Anolis sagrei: one gene and its partner. The protein of the gene in region 2 interacts with the protein of the main gene of each other region in a pairwise test. Links are inferred from orthologs where the notes say so. Each region holds a gene or a part of one and is shown on either strand. Other genes may lie near its edges.

Evidence for each region.
Region 1: the proteins of FEZ2 (region 2) and SCOC interact in binary tests that used the Homo sapiens proteins (3 or more experiments, as listed by UniProt). The link is inferred for Anolis sagrei from reciprocal best matches to the Homo sapiens genes FEZ2 and SCOC.

The regions. Positions count from the first base shown.
Region 1 is NC_090025.1:45,272,009-45,282,857, reverse strand, and holds the start of SCOC (short coiled-coil protein), read right to left. Parts: upstream 4,098-10,849; 5' UTR 4,080-4,097; coding exon 3,916-4,079; intron 1,356-3,915; coding exon 1,282-1,355; intron 1,196-1,281; coding exon 1,112-1,195; intron 1-1,111. UniProt on the Homo sapiens protein: Positive regulator of amino acid starvation-induced autophagy.
Region 2 is NC_090021.1:51,568,488-51,578,756, forward strand, and holds the start of FEZ2 (fasciculation and elongation protein zeta-2), read right to left. Parts: upstream 4,373-10,269; 5' UTR 4,334-4,372; coding exon 4,056-4,333; intron 1,632-4,055; coding exon 1,523-1,631; intron 1-1,522. UniProt on the Homo sapiens protein: Involved in axonal outgrowth and fasciculation.

The DNA of each region.
Region 1 (10,849 bases), on a different chromosome or scaffold from region 2:
TAAAAAATCACTGTCATCTAAAAGCTGCTGAAGTTGCACAATAATCCCGCACCTCAGTTATTTTCACAGTAAGTAAAGAAAATGTAATCTAGATTTTCTTGGGAATCTGTTGTGGAGAATGGGCACTTGTTTCCCTAATGTGCAAGGGACTACCCATCAGTCACAACTCACTACAGAACAGTAACAAATGGATCACATACATAAGGACCACCGTGCAGGCTCTGAGATCTGCCAGGGAAGCCCTTCTCTCGGTCCCACCACCGTTCCAAGTATGGTTGGTGGGGATGAGGGAGAGCGCCTTCTCTGTGGTGGCTCCCCAGCTCTGGAATACCCTCCCAAAAGAGATTAGGTTAGCCCTCACCCTTGAATCCTTCCGATCCAGCCTAAAAATATGGATTTTTTAACAGGCCTTTCACCTTGAATAGACTGAAATGGGTGTATGTGATGATTGCTTACACAGTCTGGCATTTTAGTTCATTAACTGATGACAACCAGTTTTATCCACAGATAATACTGTATTTTATAATTTTAACAATTTTATTATTATGTGATGTTATGTGTGCTTGTTGTGGTTGCTGCAATAGTTTTATGTGTTACTGTTTTCATACTTAGGTGGTTGTTTATTTTATATGCAGGACTCTGGGGGGCTTTTGTGAGCCGCCCCGAGTGCCTTTCAGGAGATGGTGGCAGGGTATAAATAAAGTTTGTTTATTTATTTATGGGTTACCATGGTCAATAGAAGGAAACAGCTACCTATTTTCAGGTTTGTATACTCATCTCTTTTAACTGGGGAATTTCTACCCCCTTGCTCAATGATAAGAAACAATGTGGTCGAAGAGCAAGCAGACAAACAGAAGGATGTAACCCTACAATTATTTTATCCATGTCCTATAGACTCTAGAATTAAAAGTCATCATCTGACACCAGATCTTCCTTTTAGACATTTCTTTAATGCTGTGCAACTCATACAATGATGGACAATCCACAGCTAGATTTCTGAGATCTCTTGCCTATTTATCCCATCAAAAGTTATTTGCAACTGCATCTACCCAGACAATACTAATTCATTTTGCATATAGATAAACTTACCCTTCTGAGCTAGAACACTAACCTTCAAGTGTATGCTGCAGTTCTAATACTTGATTAATAAGACGTGTTTTTTCTTCCAATTCCACTTGATTTTCAGCCTCAATAGCTAGAATAAAAGAGATAATCTTTAGAAGAGCTAAATTTTATAATACATAAGACTGAAAACACAAAGAAAGTAAAAATGCTATCTACCATCCATATCTGAATTCATCATTGTTGAAAAGATCTTATCTGTTCTTGAACACCGTATGTCAGTGATGTGTCCTGTTTAAAAAGAAGAAAATAGGATCAGTGGTATGCACACAGAGTCTGGTTTTTATTCCATGATTTCAATGGGTAGCATCTGCATTAACATTTTGACTGTGAAAAAAGCAGTCATTTTTTTCTGTGCAGGTTCAGTGACTTTTTCAAAAGACAGTGAATGTTGAGGGCTGACTATACGTACATATACACATCACCTATCAAGAGAATTATAGAACATTTCACTTTCCCACCACACACATCTTCAGTACAGTTCCCCCCCCCCCCCTATTTCTCAAAGGACAATGCTTTCCTGACATTAGAATAACAGAATAATAAAGTTGAAAAGGACCTTGTGGGCCAGCCAGTCAAACTTCTGCTAAGAAGCAGGAAAATCGCATTCAAAGCACCCCAAACAGATGGTCATCCATCCTCTGTTTAAAAGCCTCCAAAAAAGCCTTCACCACATTCCGGGGCAGAGAGTTCTACTGCTGAACAGCTCTCACAGTTAGGAAGTTTTTTCTAATGTTCAGGTGGAATCTCGTTTCCTGTAGTTTGAAGCCATTGTCCTGCATCCTAGTCTTCAGGGCAGCAAAAAAACAAACTTGCTCCCTCCTCCCTATTACTTCCCCTCACTTATTTATACATGGCTATCACGTCTCCTCTCAGCCTTCTCTTCTGCAGGCTAAACATGTCCAGCTCTTTAAGCCGCTCCTCATAGGGCTTGTTCTCCAGACCCTTCATCATTTTAGTCTCCCTCCTCTGGACACATTCCAGCTTGTCAACATTTCCCTTCAATTGTGGTACCCAGAATTGGACACAGTATTTCAGGTGTTGTCTGACCAAGGCAGAATAGAGGAGTAGCATGACTTCCCTGGATCTAGACACTAGATTCGTATTTATGCAGCCCAAAATCCCATTGGCTTTTTAAGCTGCCAAATGACATTGTTGGATCATGTTTAACTTGTTGTCCATGAAGATTCCATGATCTTTTTCACATGTACTGCTGTCGAGCCAGGTGTCCCACATTATGTATTTTTGCATTTCATTTTTTCTGCCCATCATTTCATCACACTAGAGAAAAAATCCACTTAAAATCTGGTTCTGCCTCCTGCAAGAATTTGGAGGTTTGTAGTTTAGTGAGGCTGTTAAAGGCTCCTCCCTAAACTACAAACCCCTCATCTAGTGTGATGAGGGCTATTGTGGAGTATTTTGCATTTGTCCCTGATGAAACTTCATTTTGTTAGTTTTGGACAATCGTCTCTCTAATCTGTGAAGATCAGTTACCACCCATGAGGATTGCTAGATGCCAGATAAATCTAGTTTCTGGTTATTAAGAGTTACTATCCAAAATAGCCCTAGCCTAGCCTATGCCACACCATAAACTTTGTACTGACTTGATATTAATATTGAAATACAATAATTAATAGCAAATCGATAAAGAAAAACTGAACTTAATGTATCAGTTGGCCCATGCCTGGTCTACTGTATGTACTGTACTGAACGTATCTCTTCTTATGAACCATCTAGGAATCTAAGATCTTCTGGGGAGACCCTGCTCTCGATCCTGTCTTCTTCACAGGTTTGGTTGGTGGGGACGAGAGACAGGGCCTTCTCAGCAGTGGCCCCTCGGCTGTGGAACGCCCTCCCTAGGGACATTAGATCGGCCCCCACCCTCTTAACATTTCGTAAAAAAGTCAAAACCTGGCTTTTTGAGCAGGCTTTCTCAAATGCAGTGTAGCAGACAAACCCTGATTTTGGAACGACTGGACAATGCAATTAGATAGTGCAAATGGATAACGATTTTGGTAAGCAGACATGGAGGATCTATGTTTTTATCAGTTTTATTACTTACTGAATTTTATTTATTCTAAATGTTTTAACTGTTTTTATGTTATTGTGGGCATCGAATTGTGCCGTTTTGTAAACCGCCTTGAATTGCCCTCGGGCTGAGAATTTACTATATAAATATAGTAAATAAATAAAATAAATACTGTATTTGTGTTGGTCCCTTTTTTCCCTTTTAGCTGCTTCCCTCCATTGAGACGTAGGCTGACCATAATATCAATGCATTTAATCAAACCTCATCCTGAATGAGATCTAATTTCTAGATGAAACAAATGTGAGTCAAAAAGATGGATGAAGAGAAAGTGGGGAGGAAGACACTTCCTTGAAGGTGTGAAGGGCCTGAAAGATGCCACAAATGAATGCAAGGCTTTACACACAAGACAGGCTGACTCCTCTTCATCCTAGTCTAAAGCCTTATGCAATCAGGGAAGAAGAAGAAACAACCTTCTCCCTTCCAGGGCCTTCCTTGAGCATCCCAAGAAGGAAGCCTCCCTGACAGTATGTGTCCCCACCACACTGGAGGGTGGGGGATCCTGTTTTTTAATTATTGCTTTTGTTAATCTACCTATCTATTTATTTATAGGCTTCTAAATGACATCTAGAAGTCGACCCCCCTCCCCCCACAAAGCATTCCCACCCAAACAGCCCCAAATCATTCGATTCCTTCTGTTGTCATAAGCAGCTTCCTCCATCCCTCAGGGAGCCAAAGCCCTCGCCCTTTTGCGCACGCGCACTCACCTCTCTCTCTCTCTGTCTCGAGGCCTTTGAGCGCGCGCGCCCGTCACCTGCCCAAGTGACCCTCGGACCCCGTCCAGCAGCGCCTTTCCCACCAGTTCAAAAGCGGTCACTGCGCCTGCGCGGCTATCCTCTTTTGGCCCAGGACCAAACTGCGCACGCGCCATGCGTCGATGAAAACAACCACCGAAAAGGGTTGAGGATGGGCCCACCAATCACAGCGAAGGAATGACCGACGGCTTTTCGCAGAGTAGCCAATGAAAAGAGGGGACTCATCGGCCGACTCGCTTCCAAAGGCATCCCGCCGGCTGTGGGCGTGGCCTGTCTTTGCCGGTTTGCCTGGCGCTGCTGGAAGCGGAGGAAGGAAAACAGAGGGGGCGGGGCTTCTGTTACCGCCCTTGTCTCTTTTCCCTTATGAGAGTGTCAACTCTCGCGAGAGTTGTAAGGTCTTTTTAGATATTGTTTTCCCATGCATTTTAGAAAGGGACAGGCTTTTTATTTAGATAGGCTTGTAAAGATTATTGTTTACTGCATTTCTATACCGCTTTTCAAGGTTTTAAGACCAATTCAGGGGGTGCTGTGGTGTTTTAATGGTTTTTAACTAGGAAGAAAACAGGGTATTAATAATAATAATAATAATAATAATAATACACAATATGAGGATTTAAAGATAGAACTGCAAAGACTCTGGCACAAGCCAGTCAAGGTGGTCCCAGTGGTGATCGGTATACTGGGTGCAGTCCTAAAGACCTTGGCCTGCACTTAAAAACAATCGGCACTGACAAAATTACCATCTGTCACATGCAAAGGGTCACCCTACTCGGATCTCCACACATTATTCGCTGATACATCACACAGTCCTAGACACTAAGGAAGTGTCTGACGTGTGATTAAATATAAAAGCCAGCGTTTTTCAATGCACAAGCGATCCTCTGGCCCTAACTCCAACAAAAGTGGGGTCTACTGTGCTTTATAAGTTGAATCCCCAGGGAAGGAATGGAGCCATTATAAAACAACACTTCCAGTCTCAGGAAAACATCCTAGAAGGCTACCATGGTCAATATTATCAAAATTATTGAGAGACCCCGCAGAATTTGTGGGGATTTGTAAAAAAGCACTATGATGCAATGGGTTGACTGGAAAGGCATGTGGATTGGCTGAGTATGCCAGGGGCCAGAATTCTGGTTGACTGCTGTCTCTGGCTTGCTGCTGAGACAAACTATTTGAACTGCCACTTTCACCTTGGAGAGTGAAGAGAGCGCTGCCAACTCTCTGAAGCCTGATCATTTCTAAGGCATGAAGCATATTTTAAAGACAGTTGAAAAGGACTGTTTATTCCCTCTGTTCTCTGTGTGAGAACAGAGGGAATAAACAGAATATATATATAGAGAGAGAGAGAGACAGACAGACAGACAGACTGCTCTATGTGTGTGTGTGTGTGTATTGTTGCTCTGTTTGATCTTTTGAACGGTAGTAAAGATATTGTTACTTGTTACACAAGCCTGAGTGACATTTTATTATACTGCAGGGTATATTTTGGTTCAGAAACAGTGGTAAAGCTTCTATTTATTTATATCTACAACTTCCAACAGAAACACACACTCTTGTCTGGTTTCTAATAAAGATAATCCACCAAGGGAATAAAATCTTTTCCTGTCCAACAGTCAGGCATGAAAACAGGTTGAAATGGATCAAGATAATCCATATCATCTAAGAGCCCCTGGATCTGGGAGGCTGGTGGTACTAATGCTTGCAGCTGAACAATATTTGGAGAGCTACATGATTTGCAGGATGTGTAGAGAGACTGTGTCACAAGCTTTGCCTCCAGTGACATCGGGATCTGCATTTCTTCTGTTTTAGAAAGGAAACACTGACACAAATATGTTGCCTCAGAAACAGTGGGTAGATCCTTAGGCACTTTAATAGGAATGTTCTATTCTAATAATAGAATATACTTAGAATTCACCCACTGGCATTTAATTCATGACTAAGTAGTCATATTAGAGTATTGCATCAAAATCCGAAAAACAAAGTCGCACAATACCTTACAGACTCACATATATTATTTTTTGCTAGCAGCTGCTGAATTTATCAGATGCATTAAATGAGCCCTTGTGCTTAAAAACATATTACAAATTAATGTTGCCCGTTTAGATCTAACCCAAAAGTTTACAAAATTACTTCATATTAATCATGAAAATATTGCTTTAAGATAGGTCAATCGGCAGTCTAAAATCCCAAATGGAGGGCAATAAGAACCACTGTTTCCATTCCACATCAATACAGTAATGCTCACTGAACATACAATAAGCTTGTGCATCACTGAACCTAGTGTAGTTTATTTGTGGGTAAAATGCATACTGTTGAACCACAGAAGATCTATGGTGCTAAGCACCAGCACTATTGGAACCTTTTGCATTGCAAGGCAGAAATAGACAACACAATATATGGGCAATCACTTATACAGAAAAAGCCAGCTGACAATAGTTGTCCATGCTCAGCTCTCAAAACCCACAATTTAGCAAATATTTCAATACAGATTCTAGAGCTAAATGCAAGATATTGTCAATGATTGAGTTAAAATTAATTAAAACCATGTTTTTGCTTTTAAAGGAGCATAACATAGCTTTGGCAGCCTTCATTAAAGTGGTAGTTGAGATGGAAAAAATATAAAAAATACACTAAAGAATTGTATACTCAAAGAAACTGCTTTGAGTCCCCCTAGGGGTGGGAAAAGCGGTATATAAATGCTGTAAATAAATAAATAGTGCAAAAAGTGCATATTAATCGGATCCCTGCTGTCAAGATATAGTAGGACATGGCATTTGCTGTTGTTCCCCCCAGTTGTGCCTATCTATTATACTGGAACTCACATGATCTATAGTACTGTGACACCTGCACCCCTCTTCTACATTAATTGGCCAGTATAAAAAAAAGTTATATTAAATCGATTCTTCGTTGATATTGAAGACTTCCACCACCACCCCATAAAAGAGATATATAGTTTGACCTGTGAGAATTATAGTTTTCCAAACAAATTGGAGATAGCCCCCCATCCCTACACCTCTCCTCGAGTCTCCCAAGGACCAGCTTAGCCCCCATTTTCTCACCCCCGAGCACCAACATGCAGACTCCCACCCCCATCTCAGCTGTTCAATCTGAGTTGGGCTGTGGAGTGGATCTCTGCATGGCTAGCTGAGACCGCCCAACTGGCTTCCCTTTCTCTAGCTAGCCACATGAAGACTTGTTTTATTGTTTTTATTGTCTCTATTGTTTTCATATGGTTTATATTTGGTGCATTAAAATAAAGTACACCTATGCATCTGAACTCAAGGAGAATTGGTATAAAGCATTTTATAGATGGTATTTTACTCCGGAAAAGATATCTAAGTTCAGTAAAGTTAAAATTAGTGATGTTTGCTGGAAATGCGAAAGACACAAAGGAAATTATTTTCACATGTGGTGGAATTGCAAAAAGATAAAGAGCTTCTGGCATTAAATTTATAAAATAATCGGAACGATATTAAAGGTAAAAATAGAGTTTAAGCCAGAGGCAATGTTATTAGGGATCATAGACTCCATCTGTTGGGGTTCAGCCTGATCTGTGTGAATCTGATCTGTGTGAACCTGATTCTCTGATAGTATTTCCAACTGAGCAAGCCACTGAACATGTAGTTTTCCCTGACAATGTGGAAACTGGTGTTGATGCTGAGTTCAGTGGCGGGGAAAACAAAACTGAACAGCCAGATGAAAATGTTTTGGAATCCAGCCATGATAGCTCTCCACCTGGGTTTTTTAATGAGGACCGACGGGAACAGATAATGAGAGACAGGAGTGATTCACAGTTCCTACGAAGGTCAAATAGATTACAGGAGAGACAGGCTCAGGCTTCAAAGTCAAGGGGCGTTTCAAGGAATAGTTTCTTTGGTATAAGGGGCCGCCTGCCGGGTGCCTCCTTAGATCAAGCAACGTTTGGGACTGTGGCTGTGCCTTGGCAGAATTCCTGTGTTCCATTCCCGGTAATCCCAGAGGCTTCTAGTTTTTCAAGTACATGGTTAGCGAGAGGCTAACAGGTTCCTGGTTCTTGTCTTGTGTGTTTTTGGACTTTTGCTCAAGTTCAGAGATTTTCCTGACTGCTGTGTTTCTATGGTGGCTTTTTGACTTTGCATTTAACTTTCTTTTGTAACCATTTTTTCAGCAATAAAAAAGGATTGTTTTTCCTACAGTCCAGTGTGGTGGATTTAATCTTATGGTCTCGTTTCTTGGTCTGGGATGCAACACCATCAAAGACAAAAATTCAAAAAAAATATTTTTTTATTTTACCACAGCGGCGAGAATAGTAATAGCCAGAATTTGGAGATCTAATAAAACCCCTACAGCAGAACAATAGCTGTTAAAAGTATGGGATATTATGAACATGGACATCTTAACTCAAAAAATATCACAGAATATAGCGAAACTACCCAAGACAGATTGGGGAAATTTTCTGGAGTATATTAAAAACTTAAATAAGGAAATTTGTATCAGTAATCTACAATGAAGAAACTCAATGGACCATCAATGGGAAGCCGACGACTTATTAATAAGAATAAAAGACAACAAAGGGACTATTTCAGACAACAAACTTCCCAATTACCTGCCCAGGGAACTCCTGGAAGTATCTTAACCGGCACCCCCCCCTCTTTTTTTTCCATTTTGTTTCCCCACCTTCCTTGTTCTTAATTCTCTCTTCCCACGTTTCCAATCTTTGCTGAAAATATTGTTCCCACTCTTTCCATGTAAATATTATTTTTTTCCAATTTCTTTCTTTCTTTCTATCTGCTCCATCTAAGGAGCAACATATTCCAAATAATTTTAAAAAAAGCCAAAGAAGCCAAAAGATGGTATAGCGCATGTGCAAAAACGTCTCCCCCTGGCAAACAACACATACAATAGTATATCCACACTGTCTTCTGGACTACAGCTCCCAGCATCCCCTAGACCTGGCCCTTTAGGAGAGGAGGATGATCCAAATGCACTGCTTCCAAACTGCAAGCTTTCTTCTTGGATTTCTTTGAGAGCATTCCAGTCCCTGCATATTTCCAATTTTCTATTCCTGGACTGCAATTCCCAGCAATCCTCCAGATAGATAAGGTAAATAGACTAGATAGAGATAGGACTGCAATTCCCAGCAATCCTCCAGATAGATAAGGTAAATAGACTAGATAGAGATAGGTAGGTAGGTAGGTAGGTAGGTAGGTAGATCAATGAGGAGGACTGCTGGCAGTTGCAGGCCAAGAATAGGTAGAGAAGGAAGAAAGGGGAGAAAGAAGAAGGGAAAAAAAGAGGGGAGGAGGAAAGGAAGAGGAAGAGAAGAAAGGCAGGAGAGAAGAAAAAAGGGAAGGAAGGAGAGAAAGAAAGTAGAAGAGAAAGAAGGAGGGCAGGTTGGCCACAGCAATGTGTGGTGGGTACAGCTAGTGTTTATATAAAAATATCAAGTAACCCAGAATATGAGGGGATTTACGCATGATCCTGAAACTTTCTGTCGCACAGATAATATAATTAGAGTTGCTACAAGCTGTTTGCCTTCAGAAAAGGCCTTTTTAAACCCATATAATCCTTTTTAATCCCTGAAAACATGCATCCAGTACTGGGGTTGTGACTTTGGAATTTGCCAGTGACACTCTCCTATTGGTTGCAAATTGTTGCTAGAATGAAGAAAATCTTTGTCTCCGCACCAAGACACGGTCTGCTGTCTTGATTGCAAAACCAACCTAGCAACTAAGAGGTCATTTCAGGCCCCTGGCATGGCATGGTTTCTATGATGCTGTCAGAATGCACCACTTCACCTAATTTCAGTTGATTTAATTTAGGGCTCAAGGAAAACAACCAGCACGCTGCAGTTTGTGATAGTAAGAAAGAAACAATGTCTAGGCTGTTTCTTTCTTTCTTTTTTCTCTCCACTATCCTCTTTTTTAAATAAGAAAGAAAGAAATTTAAATCTCTTTGAAGTTCATAAGCAGAATCTAATAAATTGGCTCAATGCCTTCATTTGAATGAACAAGATGTAATATCCTTTGACCCTCTTGGGAATTATCATGCAAAGCCTAGTGAAAGACAGTGGTTTTAAAACCACAAGTAGGGAAATGTAGTGTCAGGAATCAAGATACAGATAGAGCTGTCTTCTTCTGCTAATTCCTTTCCCAGCCACACAATTTAGCTCCAGACATACACGACATTGTTTCTACATCTTTCATGGGAAATACATAAATTAGAGTGACACTGACTCATGGAACTCTCCGTTTTTAGTTTCTGTTTTCTTTTTTTGGTGAAACAATATTTGTTGGAATTATGTGTAGATCTCTGTGGATACATGATAATAATATTGATAACTTTAATGTTTATATTTCCCAGTTTTCATAGCAATGCTGCCTAATGAGACATGCCACATTATCACAGGATGTTCTATGCCCAACACTACCGGAGAAATTGTACTGTATAGCCAGTGTTGCACCACCTGACATCCACCGGGAAGTAGCAGACAGCAATGGATGGACCAAGGCATTGATATCTCCAGCTCATCCTCTGTTCAGATATCAGACAGCAAGCCAATGCCTTAAATGAAAAAACAGCTTCCAAAGATCTACAGAGATATTCGCAGGAACACCTCAGCAATCGAGAGCCCAAAAGTGGCAAGTCAAAACCCAGAACCTCAATCAGTGGCTGATATCAGATGAGTAAATACTTTCTGGGCACACAGAAGGCTGGGCGATTTGGAAGGCACTGAACAAACTGCGCTCTGGCATCATGAGATGCAGAGTCAACCTTAAGCAATGGGGATACAAAATGGAGTCCATAACATGCGAGTGTGGAGAAGAGCAAACCATAAACCACTAACTACAATGCAATCTGAGCCCTGCCACATGCACAATGAAGGACCTCCTTACAACCACACCAG
Region 2 (10,269 bases):
CACTCCTAAGCTAAATAAGCCCAGTCTGCAAGAAGCCTTGCCTGTATTGCATTCTAGTCTTAATATAGTTGTACTGGATGTTCTCTGCAGACCAATTTAGTTTGTACTCAATGAAAAAAATGTAGTTTACAATCCAATGTTTTTTTTTAAAAAACTCTCCCTTGGACAAAGTAAAAGTCAGCAGTCTTTTTAATTTTTTTTCTTCAGTTATTTCTCTAAAGAAAAAAAACCCTAGGCTGTTGGATGAATATCATGAACTTTGTAAACGAGCCTATTATTCTCCAATATTTAACCAGGAATAACAAAAGGCTTTGATTAACAATTGGTAAGTTCTAATGAGAGTTGACTCAACAAATCAATGAAATGTACATAACTATGGATTTATCATGTTTCCACAACTTTAATGATTGCTCAGTTATTTAGCTGATATTAAATGGTTAATGAATAGCTGCTTCCTGAATAGCTCTCACAATCAGACAGGTACAGAAAGGAGAAATATTTGCGCTGCTGGAGGGGTAAGTTCACACAGTTCAAAGCTTGGTAGATCCAAAATTGTCCCCTGGTTCCAACAGCTTAGATCTAGTGACAGTTCCTCTCAGCTGAAAATGCTATTGCTTAATTTCAGGTCAGTTATAACATGTTCAAGTCTAGAGAAAGTGTAGTTTAAGTTTAATTATGATTTAGAGATTCAATCTATAGTTTGAAGCTAACTTATTTTCATTAAGTATAATCAGAGTTAATATCTGTTTGTTGATGTTCAGGCATAATAATAAAATATTGTTTGATTATCACTAAAGTAAAATATTTTTATTTTCTCTACACATACATTGTGGAGGAGGTGCTTTCTAAACATTCTAAAGGAAGTCTTTTAACTTTTAAGAATTAGGTGCCCTCACCCTCAACTAAATGGAATGTGCATACCTGATACCCAGTGAATGTGTTAAGACGGAGGATGCAGATGGAGAATTACAATCAATCAAACAAACATACATTAGTCAAAAATAAATTCAGAAATCATAAGGTCTACCAGGGATTAGTAAATATACTTCTTGCTAAATCTGTTTTAGCAAACTAGGGGTGCACCCAAATGGTAGGATAAATGCCATTTGGTATTCCTTTAGCTGTCATGGTTCAATGCTATCAAATCATGGGAGTTGTAGTTTCTCAATGTCTTTAGCCTTCTCACTAACTACCTCAGCTTTTATAGAATGAGATGTTCTGATTCTCATGTCAGAGACCCTGACAAAGACCAGAGATAATCCTGGTATTTTCTAGAAAATGAGCACATGTTCAACCATATACAGAACAGCAACTGTAAGAAAGCAGTGAAGCAAAAAAGGCACACATACTTTTATCACATTTGTATCCCTTAACTGGGTATTGGGGTATCTGTCACATATATTTTAAAGAGGAAAGATATGGTGCAATCAGAATATGAAGAAATTTATGGCAATAAACTTCACTAGAAGGTGAGGCAATCTTTTTCTAAGCCACAATTCCAAGCAGAAAAGACAATACTAACCCCCTTTTCAGAAAGATTCAGTGTTGGCAAGTGGAGTGTTCTGGTATGGGAAGATTTCCAGTCAACTGGCAAGACATTGCCATAATTGTCAGTCAGAGCGTTCCAAATCCTGAAGACAAAATTTAAGTAATAAACATCCAGCTTTCAAAGTATACAGCAATCACTATTCTAAATGTCATAAAAAATACTATCAACAGTATACATTTAAATACTTTGGTTAGAGGCACCCCAAAGCTGTCCCTACAGTACACATTGTTGGTCTATCTACACCAGTGGTTCTCAACCTGTGGGTCCCCAGATGTTTTGGCCTTGCACTCCCAGAATTTCTAACAGCCGGTAAACTGGCTGAGATTTCTGGAAGTCATAGGTCAAAATACCTGGGGGTCCACAGGTTGAGGATCACTGACCTACACCAATTATGTCCAACCAAATTATGTACAATGCACTGCTAAATAAACTTCAAAGAAGAATTGTCTGCGATACAGGAGCACCTGTATTAGCTGCATATCCATCAATATTTGCTATTTCATGTGCAAATTAATTGTTACCAGAAACAATTAATTTTGCATCTACTGTTAGCCAAAGAAAATAATGTGTGGAATGGAGGAATCAGTCAAAATTCACTTCTAAGTTTCTTTCCTTAACTAGAACATTAAGAATTATTTTGCTGGATTACATTGTGAATGTGTCTAGTTCAGTATTCTGTCTAGAAGGGGATATTTCATTTATTATTTATCAGGGGTTTATTTGTACTCTATTTAACAAAACAGGAAATAAGTTGTATATTAGAGCACAACTCATAGATCTCTCATCATTCCAGTGCTTGTGAAGAAATAACTGAATGACAGATATGCCTAGTAAGCAAGACAGTTTAAAATATTGTGACAAACATGCATATTAAATTGTTACAGATTAAAGTTCCAGGACCATGTTTCTATGGAAACTTCACATCATTAGCTTGCAGACTCCTACACACTTAACTTGGAAGCCAAATACGCTGAAATTTGTTTCTGATTGAAAATGTCCATAACTCCACAGGAGACTAAATTCCAACACAGTCCTTTAATTTAAGACAGAAGTGAAGAAGTGAAGACCTGTCTCTTTGGTAGACCTACACTGACAGCCTTTAAACATAAACATGAATTTTAAGGCATGCCCTTTGTTTAATCTCTGTTTTAATATGTATTTCATAGAGATACATTCTGGTACGTAACTTTTATGGAGGTAATAATAATATACTTTAATTATAACCCGCTGTATCTCCCCAAGGGGACTCAGGGCAGTGTCCATGCAAAAAGTGGCAAACATTCAATGCCATAATAAAAAACCAACAAACCAAATCGAAACAGCATCAATATAAACTTATAATAACTAACAAAAAATAAGCAATTAAATAAACATAATAAATCTCAACAAATGCACTTACATGGTAATAAAATCTCAATTAAAAGTATAAAATGGTTTATAGCAGCCAACAGACCCAGGGTGGGTTTCTAGTATCCAACATGAGATTGTATATTAAGGTGTTGAAGTCTTAATACGTTTTAGTGTGTGTATTTGTAGTGTTTTTGCTGTGTTTACGTATTCTAATTGTTTTGTAACCAGTCTCGAGCCATGAGGAGCAGAGGATAAGAAATAAAACTATTATTATTATTATTATTATAGGTTTTTGTAGGTTTTTTTGGGCTATATGGCCATGTTCTAGAGCAGGGGTCCTCAAACTAAGGCCTGGGGACCGGATGCGGCCCTCCAAGGTCATTTACCTGGCCCTCGCTCAGGGTCAACCTAAGCCTGAAAGCACACAACAACAACAACAACAACAACAACAATCCTATCTCATCAGCCAAAAGCAGGTCCACACTTCCCATTGAAATACTAATAAGTTTATATTTGTTAAAATTGTTCTTCATTTTAATTATTGTATTGTTTTAAAGTTATTTTTACACTACAAATAAGATACGTGCAGTGTGCATAGGAATTCATTCATGTGTTTTTCAAATCATAATCCGGCCCTCCAACAGTTTGAGGGACTGTGACCTGGCCCTCTGTTTAAAAAGTTTGTGGACCCCTGTTCTAGAGGCATTCTCTCCTGACGTTTTGCCTGCATTTATTGCAAGCATCCTCAGAGGTAGTCAGGTCTGTTGGAACTAGGAAAATGGGTTGATATATCTGTGGTATGACCAGGGTGGGACAAATAATAATATATTATTATTATTATTATTATTATTATTATATTCATTCTATAGTGAAGAGCAGGCCTGTGGCCCTCCAACTCCCATAAACCCTAGCCACTTGTCCGAAGTCCAAAACACCTGGCGGGCCACAGGTTGCGCGGGCCTGATGGACAGAGGCTAAGAGACTTCAACTCCCAGAAGCCTCAGCCAGCTTGACCGACCAGCAGGAATTCTGGGAGCTGAAGTCCACGACGCCTGGAGAACGGGAAAGGTCGGCAAGGGCTCTTTGGGCGGGGAGGGATGGCAGGGAAGGAATGGGAGAAGCGACCACGGAACGCCGGAGGGAAAGAGCCACTCACTCGTCTTCCTGCAGGGCGCTCTGCTCGCTGAGGGGCGGCGGCGGGAGCCGGGCTTCTCCTTCTCCGCTCCCTGGAGGCGTCGGCGCGGTCGGCTGAGGCGGCTGGAAGCAGAGCGGCAGCTTCGCCGCCAAGCCCTTGCCTCCGTCGCCCCAGGAGCCCTCTTCCCGAGCCGGCGAGGGTTCCGGGGCCCCGCTTCCCTCCCCGGCGGGCTGGAAGCCCGAAAAGTCCTGCCAGTCGCCTGCAGGATCCCGTTGCGAGGCCGCCATTGCGGCCGCCATCGCCGAGGGGGAGTGAGGCGGCCCGGCTACGCGCTTACGTACGTGCGTACGCACGCACAGGCTCCGCCTCAGCCATCGGGAGCGCGCACTCCTAGCTGTCACTGTCAGAGAATATAAGCCCCGCCCCCTTTTCCCGATTGCTGAGGCGGGGCTTATGCCCTTCTCTGACAGTGACAGGCGGCGCTTCCTTCCCATTGGCCCCGGTGGCGCAGAGGGTTAAACTCCTGTGCCGGCAGGACTGAAGACCGACAGGTCGCAGGTTCGAATCCAGGGAGCTCCCTAGAATCATAGAGAATCATAGAATCAAAGAGTTGGAAGAGACCTCATGGGCCATCCGGTCCAACCCCCCTGCCAAGAAGCAGGAATGTTGCATTCAAAACACCCCTGACAGATGGCCATCCAGCCTCTGCTTAAAAGCTTCCAAAGAAGGAGCCTCCACCACACTGCGGGGCAGAGAGTTCCACTGCTGAACGTTCCTCATGCGGGGACATGAGAGTAGCCTCCCAAAAGGATGGTAAAACATCAAAAAATATCCGGGAGTCCCCTGGGCAACGTCCTTGCAGATGGCCAATTCTCTCACACCAGAAGCGACTTGCAGTTTCTCAAGTTGTTCCAGACACGACAAAAAAAATGGCCTCGGGTGCATCTAAGATAGGCATGGGCAAACGGTTAGGAATTGTGGGAGTTGAAGTCCAAAAACACCTGGAGGGAGGTCCGAAGTTGGCCCATGCCTGGTCTACACTCTTAAAATTAATACAGTTTGACACCTCTTGAGCTGCCATGGCTCAATGCTATTGAATATTGGTGGGCACTAGCAGTCGTTTGCAGAGATTGTGAAATGCCTTATAAATCACAACAATTCCCACGATTCCACAGGACTGACCCATGGCCATTAAAGTGGTGTCATGCTGTATTAATTCTACTGTGTAGATCCGTGGTTCCCAACCTTTTTTTGACCAGGGACCACTCTCCTACGTTAATACCAAAAGGGTTACGAATCTGTTTTTGGTCAACTTTAGATTTAGTTTGGTTACTTGGGGTGCTGATTCAGAAAACTGCATTAGATAAACCACATCAGCTCTAGTTTCTGATACAGAACATATGCCATCCAGTAGTCACCATCTGCTCGCCCACATTTATTTATCGTGTCAGGAGTGGACCGAACAGTTGTATTGCATTAAAAAAACACACAAAGTTTGCAAACTTGGCATTCTATTAAATGTCCTTTGACCAGTATCTGGCCACTTGGGAGTGCCTCTGGTGTTGCTGCAAGAAGGTCCTCCATTGTGCATGTGGCAGGGTTCAGGCTGCATTGCAGTAGATGGTCTGTGGTTTGCTCTTCTCCACACTCGCATGTTGTGGAATCCACTTTGTTGCCCCATTTCTTAAGGTTGGCTCTGCATCTCGTGGTGCCAGAGCGCAGTCTGTTCAGCGCCTTCCAAGTCATCCAGTTTTCTGTGTGCCCAGGAGGGAGTCTCTCAATTGGTATCAGCCATTGATTCATACCAATGTGGCATGCCTCATTAAGAGCCACTGTTTTAGCCTGGTGAGTGCTTACCCACAGAAAACCATATTTAATAAGTCTTGGCACTACAAGAGTGTTTTGCGAGGCCAGTCACCCTAGTTGAAACAGTGTAGTAATGGCGAGGCCGTGGATCATATTTTAGTTCTTGTGGACTACTGGTGGTCCACGGACCGCAGATTGGGAACCAGTGGTGTAGACGCACCCTGCACTGCCAGAATGGCAATAAAGGGCTACCAACGTTCTTCATGACAAGCAGGCAATGGTTCCACTCAGGCATGTAGCCGGGGGGGGGGGGGGCTTGAGGGGCTTGAGCCCCCCCCCCCCCGAAATTCTCATGGTGAAGGCCTTAGTGGTGCATTATTTAAACTGTTATGTTTATTCATATCATGATCTGATCACCATACTCAATATATCCCATATGCATGGGGGTATTGGAGTAACGATACAAAAGGTTTGCTAGGCTAGACCCTCTTTCACTCAGACTCAGCCCCCCCCCCCCTCCCCGAATCAAAATCCTGGCTACGAGCCTGGTTCCACTTAATTTAGTTTGATCTAACCCAGGCATGGGCAAACTTCGATCTTCCAGGTGTTTTGGACTTTATCAACTGTTAGGAGTGGGAGTTGAAGTCCAAAACACCTGCAGGTTTGCCCTTATCTGATCTAACCAGTGTTTGACTGCACCATCAACAGAGTTGGTCAAACATATAATTAGCCACCTTAGTTAGGAGAAAGTTGCGATTAAAATAGAATCATACAATCATAGAGCTGGAAGAGACCTCATGGGCAATCCAGTCCAACCCCCTGCCAAGAAGCAGTAAATAAATAAAGGATATAAGTAAATAAATAAATGATATACAGATGCTTTGAGTTGCAATGGTACGTTGTGTGTGTGTGGAATATTCTTAGGAGGAAGAGGAGGATTATGATGATGATGCTGCTAGTGTGGTGTAGTGGACTCAATACTGGTCTACTGCTGCATCCACACCATAGAATCAATGCGGTTTGACATCACTTGAACTGCCATGGCTCAGAGCTATGGGACCATGGAAAATTTGGCACGAACGCCTGTGATTCCATATCATTGAGGCACAACAGTGTGAAACTAATTTGTAAATTTCCTGAAGATTTATTTACTTTATTTCTATACTGCTTTTCTCAGCCCTTAGGTGACTCACATTATAATAATTATTATTTCTGTCTTTATGAAGAGCCCACATTGCAAAGTATGAATTTTGAGTAGGTGTGAGTTTATGTTCAACTCATAAAACAAAAAGTTTTCCACCCATCAGATAGAGGACATCCCTCATAGTAAGGGACTAGCCCTAAAAGGGACATCTGCATCATAAGTAACACCTGGCAACCCTACGGCACAGGATGAAACCTCAACTTATTTCAGTCTTCTCTGTTGTGCTGTTTGAATGGTCTTCCATGCAATAATCATTTGTAGGAATGTTTCATAGAATTTATCACATTTGTGCCTGGAAAAGAGTATATCTCCAGCATTGCCTGGATTTCCATTTTCTTACATTATTTATTATAAACTAGTGTATGTACCTGCTGTTGCTCCACTGTTGTTGGGGCCGCTGCCCACTTAATTTTTCTTTTCTCCATCTCTGAGAAGGCTTACCTCACAATATCGCCATGCTATAGCAACAGTGGGAATGCTCTTTGTCGCTCTTTCATCCCTTATACATGTCATCTTTATTTCCCAGTGACATCACAGGGTGTCACTTCACCTAGCAACAGCAATTCAGTAATATCACAAAGGGCCACTTCACCTAGCAACAGCCTTTGTGATACATACATGCATACATTGATATATTATATATATATATATATTAGGGCTGGGCGGTTTCGTTTCGTAATTTCGTAATTCGTTAAAAATTCGTTATTTTTTTTTATAACGAAGCGATATTGAATCATTCAGGAGCAACTAAAAAACGAAACGAATTTTTCCAATTCGTTTCGTAATTGATTCGTTATTGATTCGTTATTATTTCCGCATGTCTGGTGCAAGTTTTAGGGTTGCTGTTTGTTTTCTCAGTGAAAAATATATAATTATCACACCAACAGTCAACAACAGAGGGAGAGGGAAGCTTCTGAAGTTTTTTTAGCGTATTGCGCGATCGTGGCCGCCATTAACGAATCGATTCGTAATCGATTCGTAATTGTTTTATGATTTCCGAAATTTCGTAAATATCGAACTTTTTTTTAAGGAAAATTTTGGAAAAAACCCCTAAAAACGAATCGAGTTCAGAAACAAATTTTTGCGTGTTTGGACAGCCCTTATATATATATATATGTATATGTATATATGTATATGCCTCTCCCTTATGGCATCCCCTCAACCTTCTCTTCTGTAGGCTAAACATACCCAGCTCATTACGACGTTCCTCATAGGGCATGGTCTCCAGACCTTTGATCATTTTATTGTCCTCCTCTGGACACCTTCCAGCTTGTCAATATCTCTCTTGAATCGTGGTGCCCAAAATTGGACACAGTATTTCAGGTGAGGCCTGACCAAAGCAGAATAAAGAGGCAGCATGACTTCCCTCGATCTAGACACTAGACTCCTTTTGATGCAAACCAAAATTCCATTGGCTTTTTAAGCTGCTGCATCACAGTTGGCTCATGTTCAACTTGTTGTTTACTAAGGCTTCAAGTTCTTTTTCAGATGTACTATTGTCAAGCTAAGCAAGGCATCATCCATGCTGTTTGCATTTCATTTTTTTCTGTCTAAGTGAAGTATTCTACTCTTCTCCTTGTTGAAACTCCTTTTGTTAGTTTTGGCCCAGCTCTTTAATCTGTTAATATCATTCTGGATTCTGATCCTGTCCTCTGATTCCTCCCAATTTAATGTCATCTGCAAACGTGATAAGCACACTCTCTAAATCTTCATCCAAGTCATTAATAAAGATGTCAAACAGCACCAGGCCTTGAACAGAACCCTGTGGCCCCCACTAGTCACTTTTTTCCAGGATGAAGAACCATTTGGTGAACAACTATTTGGTGAACCATTTGGGTTTGAGATATCTATCTATATCCATCTATCAGTAGAGATGAGAAACTCTTTAGAAAAGTTATGTATGAGTCAGAGATTGACCTCGGTGACAATCCGTTGCTTTCTCCCAACTTTTCCCATCTCTTATTTTCGTAAATTTTGTTGCTACTTGGCTTCAAATTGTTTCCAACTTATGGTGGTCACCTTATGATGTATTTAGAGTAGAAAGGAACCATCTCCAAATATCTCTCGCCTTAAAAAACTACATGTAATTCATAGGGTTGCCATGTTTTCAGGTGAATTAAAGGGACAGATACACACAAGGTTCCCACCTAAACATCAGCCTCTGCCTCCACTCCAGAACATTCCTCATCAAAAAAATGACACAAATTTCTATAAAACTGTGTGTGACAATTTGTACAGATGCAAAATTATAAATTATTCCAAAATAATACGAACAGAATCATATTGCCGCTAATGTGCCAGGGCAAGACCTGTCTGCTAATTCAGCTATCGGGGCTACAGACAGTAAACTTCAAGCTCCCCAATCTACCTCTTTATGGTTCTGTATTTTCATATCAGCCTCAAGACCACATTGAGAAGTGCGACTACTTCACAATTCACTAGTTTGAAGAGTTTTCCAAGAAAGAAAGACAGACAGACAGAGTGGTAGTCAATGGACACAAATAAGCTACAAGTGCCTGGCATGTTGAAAATTGCTGGCCTAAGATGCCTTAAAAAAACCTAAAACCAAAACAAAACTTCATTGTGAAAGCCTTTCTTAACTGAAGTATGCCTGTATTGTTTCCCATCACTTTTCCAGATGCACGACGGCAGTGCAGAGCTGTTATTTTCTTACAGGGAAGGAGAAGTTAACTTTCTGCAGCTCTTTCTTCTGTGGCCAGCAGATGGGCAAATTTGGCTGCCCTGTGCCATGTTCCAGACTCCAAGAATGGGAGCAGGGAAAGGGCTGTAGCAGGATCTCTGAGGCTGTGCTTGGCAGCTGTGTCAGACTGAATGAGAGCGAACAAATTGAAACTGAATCCAGACAAGACAGAGGTCCTACTGGTCAGTCAAAATGCCTAACAGGGCATAAGGTTACAGCTTGTGTTGGGTGGGGTTATACTCCTCCTGAAGACACAGGTTTGCAGCTTGGGAGTGATCCTGGATTCATCGCTGAGCCTGGTCTTGGCAATGGCCGGGAGAGCTTTTGCACAATTAAAACTTGTGTGCCAGCTGTGCCCGTACCTTGGGAACTCTGATCTGGCCACAGTGGTCCACGCTTTTGTTACATACCGAATAGATTACTGCAACGCACTCTACGAAGACTGTTCGGAAACTTCAATAGTCCAATGGGTGGCAGATAGATTACTCACTGGAACGTCACTGGATTACTCCATTGTGTCAGCT